Linked DNA regions of Oryza sativa Japonica Group. The protein of the gene in region 1 binds, or shares a complex with, the protein of each later gene. Links are inferred from orthologs where the notes say so. Each region holds a gene or a part of one and is shown on either strand. Other genes may lie near its edges.

Region 1 (6,152 bases):
GCAGCAATCCTGCACTAAAAAAGAATAGCTCGTGAGTATCAGAACTGTCTGTTCTATAACGCTCTAAATCTTATTTCTAGAAATACTCTGATCTTGTGAACCACTAGGCAAATTGAGAGAAATCGACAAATGGAGAAGAAATTAGATCTCACCGACACAATAAAAGACGGAGCACGTTTGTTCCTTATCGACGCTGGCATCAGGAGACAACTTATTATGGCTTTCACGGAGGACTCCAAGTTGCATGTAGAAGAGGTACTTTAACATGGATTGTTCACTACAGTATTCACACAAGTTGTATACTAAGGAAAGATGGAAGATAATTTTTCCAGTGGATTACTGTAACCCATTTCTCTCTTTTGCAGCTTGTTGATGTGTACAGACTGGTCGAAGATCAAATCGACATTCCATCAGTTGCTCTCGAGGTTATCCAAGGTAAGTCAGTCGACCTATGTTAGTTGGAAAAACTCTCCTGTTCTTCCATTTGAAATGCATTTACTTTACTTTTCTGTGCAGATTTACCATCCGTCGCGCGCGATTTCATGCTTTCTTGGAGCGATTCCATCCTGTCAGATCGGCAATACTGATCTCAGGTTAACAGTTTAGAGCAGCAAGCAGAAGTGCTGTCAAGACCTGCAGGAGCCATTCTTCCTTCAGTTAACCTACACTAAAATAGATAGATATAGATGACTACATTTTTCCTCTTTGCTGTACACAATTTGGTTTGCTATTCTTTTCTATAGTATATCATTGTATAGGAAACTTGCCATCTGCATTTCATTTATATATTTTCGATGGCTCTGTATATGCCGTTTGTATAGCGGAAGAAAAGGAACTTGTATATAGAATGAGCTTGTATTGTGGGAGAAAGTAGCTATATGTGTACATCGAGGAAACTTACATTATAAGATCAGATCATATGTTTTGCATGTTATAGTTCCCTGGTGACAACTAAGCGCTTTTTTTAAAAAATACGAACCGCACAAAAAATGTGTGAGGCTTCATATCAAACTGTTCAAGATTTTATAGCCTAGGAAGACTATGATTAGGAAAAGAAAACATAACACCAGGCGCCGACGGCTCCTACGCCTAAGCACATCGGGTCAGTTGGTTCAGTTCGACATCTAACGGCAGGTGTTCTACAATACATTTTCTCAGCTTAACTACTAAACAATACTCTCATTTCTAAATATTTGACACAGTTGACTTTTTAGCACATATTTGACCATTCGTCTTATTCAAAAACTTTTATGAAATATATAAAACTATATGTATACATATAAGTATATTTAACAATGAATCAAATGGTAGGAAAATAATTAATAATTACTTAAATTTTTTAATAAGATAAATGGTCAAATATATTTAAAAAGTTAACGACGTTAAATACTTAGAAAGGGAGGGAGTATGTTTTTTTTTAAAATTTTAGCTAATAGTTAATTAATCGTATGTAATCCGCCGCTTCATTTTCATTTCCTGAGAAAGATGTTCCCCTGCCGAACTCAGAATTTTTACAAGTAAAATAATACTAAGAAAGAAAGAATTACATGTTCGGGGATGTAGCTCAAATGGTAGAGCGCTCGCTTTGCATGCGAGAGGCACGGGGTTCGATCCCCCGCATCTCCATTTCGTCAATTTTTTTATCCCATTTTTCTCCATTTATCGTTAGCCATTTCATCCCTTCTTTCGACTGAGGTCTGAGGATATAGCTGTTATTTATCCGGCTACGAGCCAATGCACGTAAACAATCTCCATCCATGTCCAAACTGGCAAGAAGCCAAAAACCCAAAACGAAACATGTGGATTAGCCTTTTCGTTGTGGCGTGCAAAAACAATTTACCCGAGGATAGCTTTATTTTTCTAGTTTTATGTGGTATAGGCGTAAGTAACAATCGGTTGGAAGGATAGCTAAAATTTTTCATCTCCATCGTTTCTCTTGGATTGAGATCTTTCGAGTGCAGTCAGAGAAGCACGCTGTTGTGACTTTAGGGTATTCTCAGCCGTCCGATCTATAACGAACGGATGAGATTGATCGCTACAATACTCTAGAGTAACACGCGAGCAGTATCTATGTACAGTATAGTTACTATTTACCACTAATACTATAGTAAATAACTGCAAAATCACTGTTCCACACGGTAGCACAGGATACAATTTACTTTGCTCCTCTCCCTTTAGCACTTAAAATTTAGAGCCGGATCCCATTTTCTTGGCGTGAAGCTATACGTGGGCCCGGGAGATGCCATGCTGGCAGGTGGGCCCCACGCCAGGGCCCCACCTCATCGCCTCCTCACCACGTCTCGCGCCGCAGCGTATGCACACCTCCTCAGCCTCGAGCTCCTTTGGAATGCACCACCACCTCAAAAAATAATAACAAAAACAAAAGCACTCGACTCGACTCGTGCGCCGCCGCGCGCGCGCACGCACGCACACTCCGGCCTCGCTCGCATGGCGGCGTCCACGGCATCCGCCCCGTTCACGCCGCTCCTCCACCGGCGGCGAGCGAGCGTCCACGGCCGGCGCGGGAGCGGGAGGGCGTTCGTCGCCGTCGTCGTCGCGGCGGCGGCGGGGGGCGCGCCGGAGACGGAGCCGTCCCCGGCTACGGCGGCCGGGGCGGCGGCGCAGGGGAAGAAGAAGACGGTGGACACGAGGATACACTGGTCGGACCCGGACGAAGGGTGGGTCGGCGGGAACGCCAAGAAGGACGGCGGCGGCCGGAAGAAGGAGCCGCTCGGTGGGAGGTTCGCCGACCTCATCAACAACCCGTCCGAGTCTCACTACCAGTTGAGTGCTACTGCTGCCTCTCTTGTCCCATTCTTCATTCATAATTGAACAAATTTCAAAATGACTTGAATTTTGGACAAACTTCAACCAAAATTGAATAAGTCTCGAAATTTCCAACCCGTATGAAAAAAAAAATCACCGTCCTAGTCACAATACCAATTGAGTGTTAACTCCAATGCATAGCGAATATTAGTAAATAACTTAATACCAAAATAACTAGAAGGGGACGAGGCTTTGAGCTTGGAGCTAGCCAGAAAACCCATTGATGTTTTTCGGAGATTGTTTGGTTTCGAGACAATTTTTAGGGGATGTGCAGGGACATTTTTTTTTCTCCTAACAAAACCTTGCCAATTTGCCAATTTTTGGTACTACCTATAGAATTTGAACTTACCTGAACAAATTCCAACAAAAAACTTGTACAAAAAAAAAATCAAACCCAGGTTCTTGGGGGTGGAACCGAAGGCGGACATCGAGGAGATAAAGGCGGCGTACCGGCGGCTGTCCAAGGAGTACCACCCGGACACGACGTCGCTGCCGCTGCGGGAGGCGTCGGAGCGGTTCATCCGGCTGCGGGAGGCGTACAACGTGCTGAGCCGGGAGGAGTCGCGGCGGTTCTACGACTGGACGCTGGCGCAGGAGGCCGAGAGCCGGCGCCTCCAGCAGCTGCGGTCCAGGCTCGAGGACCCCTACCAGCAGGACCTCGACAGCTACCAGTCCGTCCCCGACATGGTCGACCGCCTCGGCGGCCGCAACATGGACCTCAGCGACCAGGCCATGACCGCGCTCACCATCGACATCGGCATCATCATCTTCTGCGTCTTCTGCCTCATCTACGCCGTCTTCTTCAAGGAGCAGTACTAGATTATTCATTCATGCCAGGAAGAAGAAATTTTCAGGTACATATACACTCTCAAGATGTTGTTTGCTATACGTACGGGTGTATCATGATGTAATGCGAAATAAGTACTGCACATCCACACCAAGTAACCAAATGTCCCTGTATCCTGTATTTTGTCCACAAAATTGGATTGTTGCAATGTGTAAATAGGCTCTTGAATGAAATTATTGAAAAAGCAAGTATGGACCTAAAATGGGTAAATTGCCAAACAGCACAATTGGCCTTCCCTATTCTAGTCTCAATATCATGTCAAACAAGAAAGAAAGCAAAAAGGTAATCCGCCTCTGTGTGGTTGAAACTCTTGGACGGAATGTGGTAGGTGTCTAATCTTTTACGAACTGTCACACTCGATGATCTTGACAACAGATGAATCGCCGATCTTCTGGAAAATGATCAACCTGTCATAGGGCTTTAGCATACCAACCGAGCGACCATAGTTCTGTGCAAGTTTTATCCCGTACTCTTCCCTGGTGAGCCCACCAGTTTCAGCCTGTTACAGAAAGTGTTCACGCATATGTACATATTAAGAACAAGTTGAAATTTTAAAAATGCCAAATGGTAATTAAGAGGGGATAATGCAGCTATCATTTTTGTAGAACTACAAAGAAAATTTGCATTGTGGGCTACCGCAAGATGCAAGTTTTGGCATTGCAAAAAAGCAGAAAGTGAAGGTGCCTCTAGTATTTAGCAACTTCAACATACCTCCTCAGTACTCGCCATCAAAGGGTAGACACCTCTTGCAGCAAAACATTGCCTTGCCTGAAAGCAACATAGAAGTGGTAAAATAAGTTGGCATATTCTGTTCCACGAAATGAAAGATTGTTGTAAAACCCAGACAGATATTATAGATATACATGTTACTTACCTGAGTTGTGCCGTAAGAACGCCACTTTGTTGGATCAGAGCCCTCACGTGGGAAGACAACGGCCAACACTGGCATTGGTGGCTTGTACTTGGCAACTAACCTGCAGACAGGATGCATGAAGTGAATTAATAGCACTTGAATGATGGAGGCTTGAAAGGAGTTAATTGTGGAGTACCTGGCAGCTCTTCCTGAGAAAGTGAACACAACGATTGCAGCAGCTTTTACCTTCATTGCAGTGCGAACCTACAAGTGAAAAAATGGATTATCACAATAAATCCTTGATAGCAAAGTAGTATCTGTTCCAAATGAATTAAGAGTGTTTACCGCTGAAGATGCCACAGATTCTTCATGGGGCATTGGATCACCTACATGCTTCACTAATTTCTTGAAGTGAACCAACTGGTTATACACAGACTCAGCCTACAAGCATTTACCATTGATCAGTCAAGAAATTTGGATGGCTCTATTGCAATATTGATGGACAGAAAGAAACATACTTCTGCACATATTCTCCCAACAGTACTCACTGCATCAACTGGATAAGGGCCTCGATGAGTCTCCGCACCAAGCAAAATGCCATCCGTTCCTGCCATTTTTGCAGTATAAGAGAAACTAACAAATTTGTCAACTTGTTGTAATATAATACAGGTTTACAGACCATCTAGGACAGCATTTGCAACATCAGTGGCCTCTGCACGTGTTGGGCGTAGATTGTCAATCATGCTGTCCACAACTCTAGTGATGATCACAGGTTTGCCAGCAAGATTGCATTTCTTAATAGCTGTTTTTTGGGATATGAACACCTGAAGTTCCAAGAGTGAGAGAGGTCATGGTATGAAGCAAGGCATGTAATCATGACATTTTTCCAAATTATGAGTACAGAACAACGGTTCATGCACTAAAATTTCAGATGGATCAACAGCCTATCAGAGAAGAATGAATCACTTAAAGCGTAACTTGATAAGCAATTGATGATAAGATTTTGCACCAGAATAATGAAGATATTCTCATAACTACTATTGGCAAGGCGTCATGAATAAAATGAATATGCACATGTCCAACAGCATGATAGGGATAAATAGTGTATAATGGGGTTTTGAGGAAAAAAATAATTTACATCTTCTGGTGGAAGGTCAATTCCCAGGTCTCCCCGTGAAATAATGACGCCATCAGCTTCTTGGAGAATTTCATCAAAATGATCCAAACCCTAGAAAGGAATAAGCAATGCAGTTAATTGTAATGAGGGAAGTGAAAAGCCCGACAATAATATTTTCATAGAAGCAGGGTAAATACCTCAGTATTTTCAACCTTGGCATATATCTGTGTGTCCTGAAGGCCATGAGATTGAAGAAAAGATCTAAGCTGCATGCCAAATATATGTAAGGATCAGTGGTGTTGCACAACTTTATTGTATATATCAAGATTTAATGCACAAATAGCTTAGATGCTAAGGGAAACATGTGGTCACAGGTACAGGGAGAACCAGTAACACCATGTCTATGAAATATAACACATAAAATTGAAAAACAAATAACATCATGCAGTTCTTCATTGTCTGCAATAATGCTTGATACAGTTCGTTAAAATTTTCCCCTCTAATGTGAG
Region 2 (4,438 bases), on another chromosome or scaffold:
TCTTAACTCGATTTGAGCGAATGGCAGTGCTCAGACATGGCGGTCATGAAGGCGAGGCTACGAGCCATGGACCGGGAGTTCGTCGTGAGGAAAGTGTGGGACGGGGAGACGGTGGTGGACCAGCTCTTCTTCCACGACCCCGACGGCAATATGATCGAGGTCTGCAACTGCGAGAACCTCCCCGTGATACCCCTCATCGTTGCATCGACGCCCGGGCTTCCTGAGCTGCTGCCGCCGGCGATGCAGACCAATGTCCATGGCTAGCTCGAGCTACGTTCTTATGTCTCTCCTTTGTACATAAATACATGATTAAATTTCATTCGTTTGAATTGGTTCATTCGTACGTTAGTTGTAAGTATTCTATTTGCTGCACCATGCATACACGTTAGTTGTAGTAATTGATTGCTGCCAAGATTACATTACTGCCCAATATATATATATATATATATGAACAAGTTGTTTATATATAATAAAGTGTTTTAAGTGTTCCAAGTCTCCGGTGTACGACGTACATGTCTCCCAAGTATTTTACTCTGTTCGTCCCATTTTAAGTGTAGCCATGATTTTCCGCGCCTAATTTTAACGGTCCGTCTTATTTAAAAAAAATTAAAAACATAAGTCACGGGTAAAGTGCTATTCATGTTGTATCATCACATAACAACAACAAAAATACTAATTATAAAAAATTTTCAAATAAGACGGATGATCAAAGTTAGACACGGAAATTTATGGTTGCACTTAAAATAGGACGGATGGAGTAATCCTGAACAGACTTTTCCCGCCTGAGAAAGCTTAAAATCACTACAGAGGCTTTTGCTTTGCCTTTCATGTGAAGCGATCATCACAAAGTGAAAAGGAAAAAAAATTACTCTCGTTATTTTAAAGGCCATGGAGTATGCGTATCCTCTGCTTTTGCTGTGCCGAGGAAAAGTGGGTTACTTCTTTAAGTATGAAATCACCGTCACACCACATGGAGTTATAAAAAAACAGTCACATACAAAGTTTTGTCAGAAATGCAACAGTATTTATCCATACCACACGAGAGCGCGTGCTGCTCAGCTCTGTCATGCAATGCAACAGGCCGTGCCAACGTCCACAGCCCAATACATTTGTGTGGTCAATTGGCCCAGAACATGTACGAGTCGCTGAAACCCAGTGCCAGAAATAGCCCTTATCCACACAAGCCACACACAGCCAGTGGCTCCAAGGCGGCACGGCACGGCAGCTTAGCCGCGCGCGCGCAGGCGCAGCAAACCTAAAAAAACCACCACCACCCACGCAACACAAACACAAGCCAAGCCAAAGCCAAGCGAAACAGCTGCGCGCAGCATGGCAACCACGGCGTCCCCGTTCCTGTCCCCGGCCAAGCTGTCGCTCGAGCGCCGGCTCCCGCGCGCGACGTGGACGGCGCGACGAAGCGTCAGGTTCCCGCCGGTGCGAGCCCAAGATCAGCAGCAGCAGGTGAAAGAGGAGGAGGAGGAGGCGGCGGTGGAAAACCTGCCGCCGCCGCCGCAGGAGGAGGAGCAGAGGCGGGAGCGGAAGACGAGGAGGCAGGGGCCGGCGCAGCCGCTGCCGGTGCAGCCGCTGGCGGAGAGCAAGAACATGAGCCGGGAGTACGGCGGGCAGTGGCTGAGTTGCACGACGCGGCACATCCGCATCTACGCCGCGTACATCAACCCGGAGACCAACGCCTTCGACCAGACGCAGATGGACAAGCTCACCCTCCTCCTCGACCCCACCGACGAGTTCGTCTGGACCGACGAGACGTGCCAGAAGGTCTACGACGAGTTCCAGGACCTCGTCGATCACTACGAGGTATACTACGCACCGTAACTCATAGGCAGAATTGGCAATTGCAAATGCAGGGTAGCAGTAGTGTACACCCATGGTCTCTTTCTCCAGGTGGAAATGTTAGTTGTAAGAGCTTAATTGGTAGTACCTGCTTAACTGACCTGGATTGAATTTACAGGGCGCGGAGCTGTCAGAGTACACGCTTCGTTTGATCGGATCTGATCTTGAGCACTTCATCCGCAAACTGCTATACGATGGGGAGATAAAGTACAACATGATGTCTAGAGTCCTCAATTTCAGCATGGGCAAACCAAGGATCAAATTCAACAGCAGCCAGATCCCAGATGTAAAATAGAATGCGTGTTGTACCCTAAAGAGAAAGCATGTAACTATCAATGATTTTCCCGTTCAAAGATGCCCAATGTATATTTTGCTCTTCCAGAAGAGCCATGAGCTAGGGTATTTCCGAACTCAAATCGGGTTCATACAAAAGCAGAACATTCACAGTCGATAATAATTTTGTCGACTCCAACATGGTTACATAAAGAGAAGCTGAGCAAACTGAGGGTATTACCCTGTCGTGAAGACTAAGGAAGGGTCTAGCACTCTAGTTTCATGGCATTTCCGTTCTATGGTTTTTGCTGAGTATTAGCGGTGTGAAAATGTCGATACTTCAGGTAATCCAATCACATTGAAATAACACCACTGCTTTATTGCTTTATGATGGTGAGATCAGGTAGAACATGGAATCCAGCCCTCAAATTCACAGGCAAAACTCAATGTTAAATTATTTGCAAAGAGGATGTGCGCATATTCCAATAGGGAATTATTTCTCGATCATTGGCAATATATTTATTTATCTCATTCCATATAGATACGAGACAATCTCTGCTGATGACATTACGTCACCCTTAAGAGAGTCATTCCCGCAAATAGATGTTTAATGTTTTGGACTTGAGGGTTTGACCAGCTGCAATGTGTAAATCTCAATCGATCAAAGGAATAACCTCGTGGTCTTTAGAAACATCAACCCATGGCCTGAATTGATCTTCATGTGCATTATTCTGCAAAAGAGTGTCATACAATTCAAAAATTGCCAATTACAAAACTGCATCTCAATCTTTTTTTAGAAAAATGCCATCGCTGCATTAAGTACTAATGTCATCATGCTACTTAGGTAGTTGTGTTGTACTAAACTGCAGAGTACAATTCCACGCAGTAAGAAAATAGTACTATTCAGTAATGCTGCAAATAAACTGTTTACGCTGCTACTTATATCAGGCTCACCTAGACTGATCTTAAAATGAACTGTATATTGAGCAGCAAATGAACCATCTATTCCGACTTAGAAAAAAAACATCTATAAGTTATCGAAAGAACACATTTGCTCTAGCAATAGTTCTATGTGGAGGGACTAAAAGATTTTGATGGTTAGGTAAGTCTTGTGCATAAGAAAGAGATGGTGGCAAGTACAAACTAGAATCATGAAAGCAGGTAATTCCTACACTGTTTATTTATTAAGAAACCAAAGCAATATTAATGAGGTTACCTGCAACCAGAAGAAAAACCCACGCATCAGAGCTAAACCATTTGGAAAGCTAGTGTGCATAACTTGGTCAACGAGATCTAAAGTTAAATAAACAAAAAAGACATTTGTTAGTGCAATAACCATGTAGAACTGCCAACAGATACATTATGTAAATCAGCCAGCAATACGCTATGCTACTAGTTTATAGTCAAATTTAAAAGTGGCAATGGTGTTTATAAGCAACAACAAAGAAAGCTAAGTGATCTGTTGAAGATAAAAGAAAGCTTCTCAAGAAAAATAAAACTATCACTTTCTTAATATCTAGTTTTGATCTTGGTATGGATCTCTGCATATAAGCTCAAAGTTTAAGCAAACCAATTGATAAGCTGACACTGTCCATACACTGCCGCTGGTGGTTTTAAAAAACATCAATCAAAGTGCTCCCATATCTGTAGATATCTTGGGCACAGAAATACTTTAATACTGAGACTTGGAGGTTCAACACTCTAGTAAAACTAATGCAGTGGCAATTGTTCAAAATAACATGGCATGTTTTCTTCTGGCCTTGCACTCACTTTTTCCTTTCGGAACCATTAGTCCTACAAGCTTATTTGCAAAATTAAGTACATCAAAATGTTGTTCTAAGATCCTATGCCTACAACTACACTCCAGAGATTAAACCAACACATCAATAAGCTATTTTGACTGTATACTAATTGGTCATGAATGTAACATCTTAAGAAGAAATTTGTAAACTTATAACAAACAGTTGAACAAAACTAACATCAATAAGCTATTTTGACTGTATACTAATTGGTCATGAATGTAACATCTTAAGAACAAATTTGTAAGGTTATAACAAACAACTGAACAAAGGGTTAATTTGTAAGGTTATAACAAACAAAGGGTTATAACAAACTATACTTAACTTGCAATGTTTGAGCGAGAAAACTATGAACACATGTAACCATAAATTATGGTCAACATATATTCACAAAGTGCAAATGGTTAACAGTCTGTAACAGAATATTAAGATTATCCATGGATTTAACTTTACCCAGTTACAATGACCATAAATATAATTCTGAGGAAAAATGCAATACACAACAGAATAACCAA

The links. Proteins that work in one complex are often made in the same cells at the same time.
Region 2: NAD(P)H-quinone oxidoreductase subunit T, chloroplastic (region 1) and nAD(P)H-quinone oxidoreductase subunit M, chloroplastic share a complex: the UniProt entries of both Arabidopsis thaliana proteins name them as parts of the chloroplast NDH complex. The link is inferred for Oryza sativa Japonica Group from reciprocal best matches to the Arabidopsis thaliana genes NdhT and NdhM.

What each region holds. Positions count from the first base shown.
Region 1 is NC_089045.1:6,120,481-6,126,632, reverse strand, and holds NAD(P)H-quinone oxidoreductase subunit T, chloroplastic, read left to right. Parts: upstream 1-2,391; 5' UTR 2,392-2,448; coding exon 2,449-2,783; intron 2,784-3,224; coding exon 3,225-3,645; 3' UTR 3,646-3,912; downstream 3,913-6,152. Other genes in the region: protein ACTIVITY OF BC1 COMPLEX KINASE 1, chloroplastic, read left to right, coding at 1-31, 108-255, 366-435, 517-587; pyruvate kinase 1, cytosolic, read right to left, coding at 4,014-4,172, 4,385-4,441, 4,548-4,647, 4,723-4,790, 4,872-4,967, 5,045-5,133, 5,206-5,350, 5,665-5,754 and 1 more. UniProt on the Arabidopsis thaliana protein: NDH shuttles electrons from NAD(P)H:plastoquinone, via FMN and iron-sulfur (Fe-S) centers, to quinones in the photosynthetic chain and possibly in a chloroplast respiratory chain.
Region 2 is NC_089038.1:27,480,412-27,484,849, forward strand, and holds nAD(P)H-quinone oxidoreductase subunit M, chloroplastic, read left to right. Parts: upstream 1-1,289; 5' UTR 1,290-1,329; coding exon 1,330-1,815; intron 1,816-1,969; coding exon 1,970-2,146; 3' UTR 2,147-2,510; downstream 2,511-4,438. Other genes in the region: uncharacterized LOC4336529, read left to right, coding at 28-264; uncharacterized LOC4336531, read right to left, coding at 2,778-2,855, 3,341-3,417. UniProt on the Arabidopsis thaliana protein: NDH shuttles electrons from NAD(P)H:plastoquinone, via FMN and iron-sulfur (Fe-S) centers, to quinones in the photosynthetic chain and possibly in a chloroplast respiratory chain.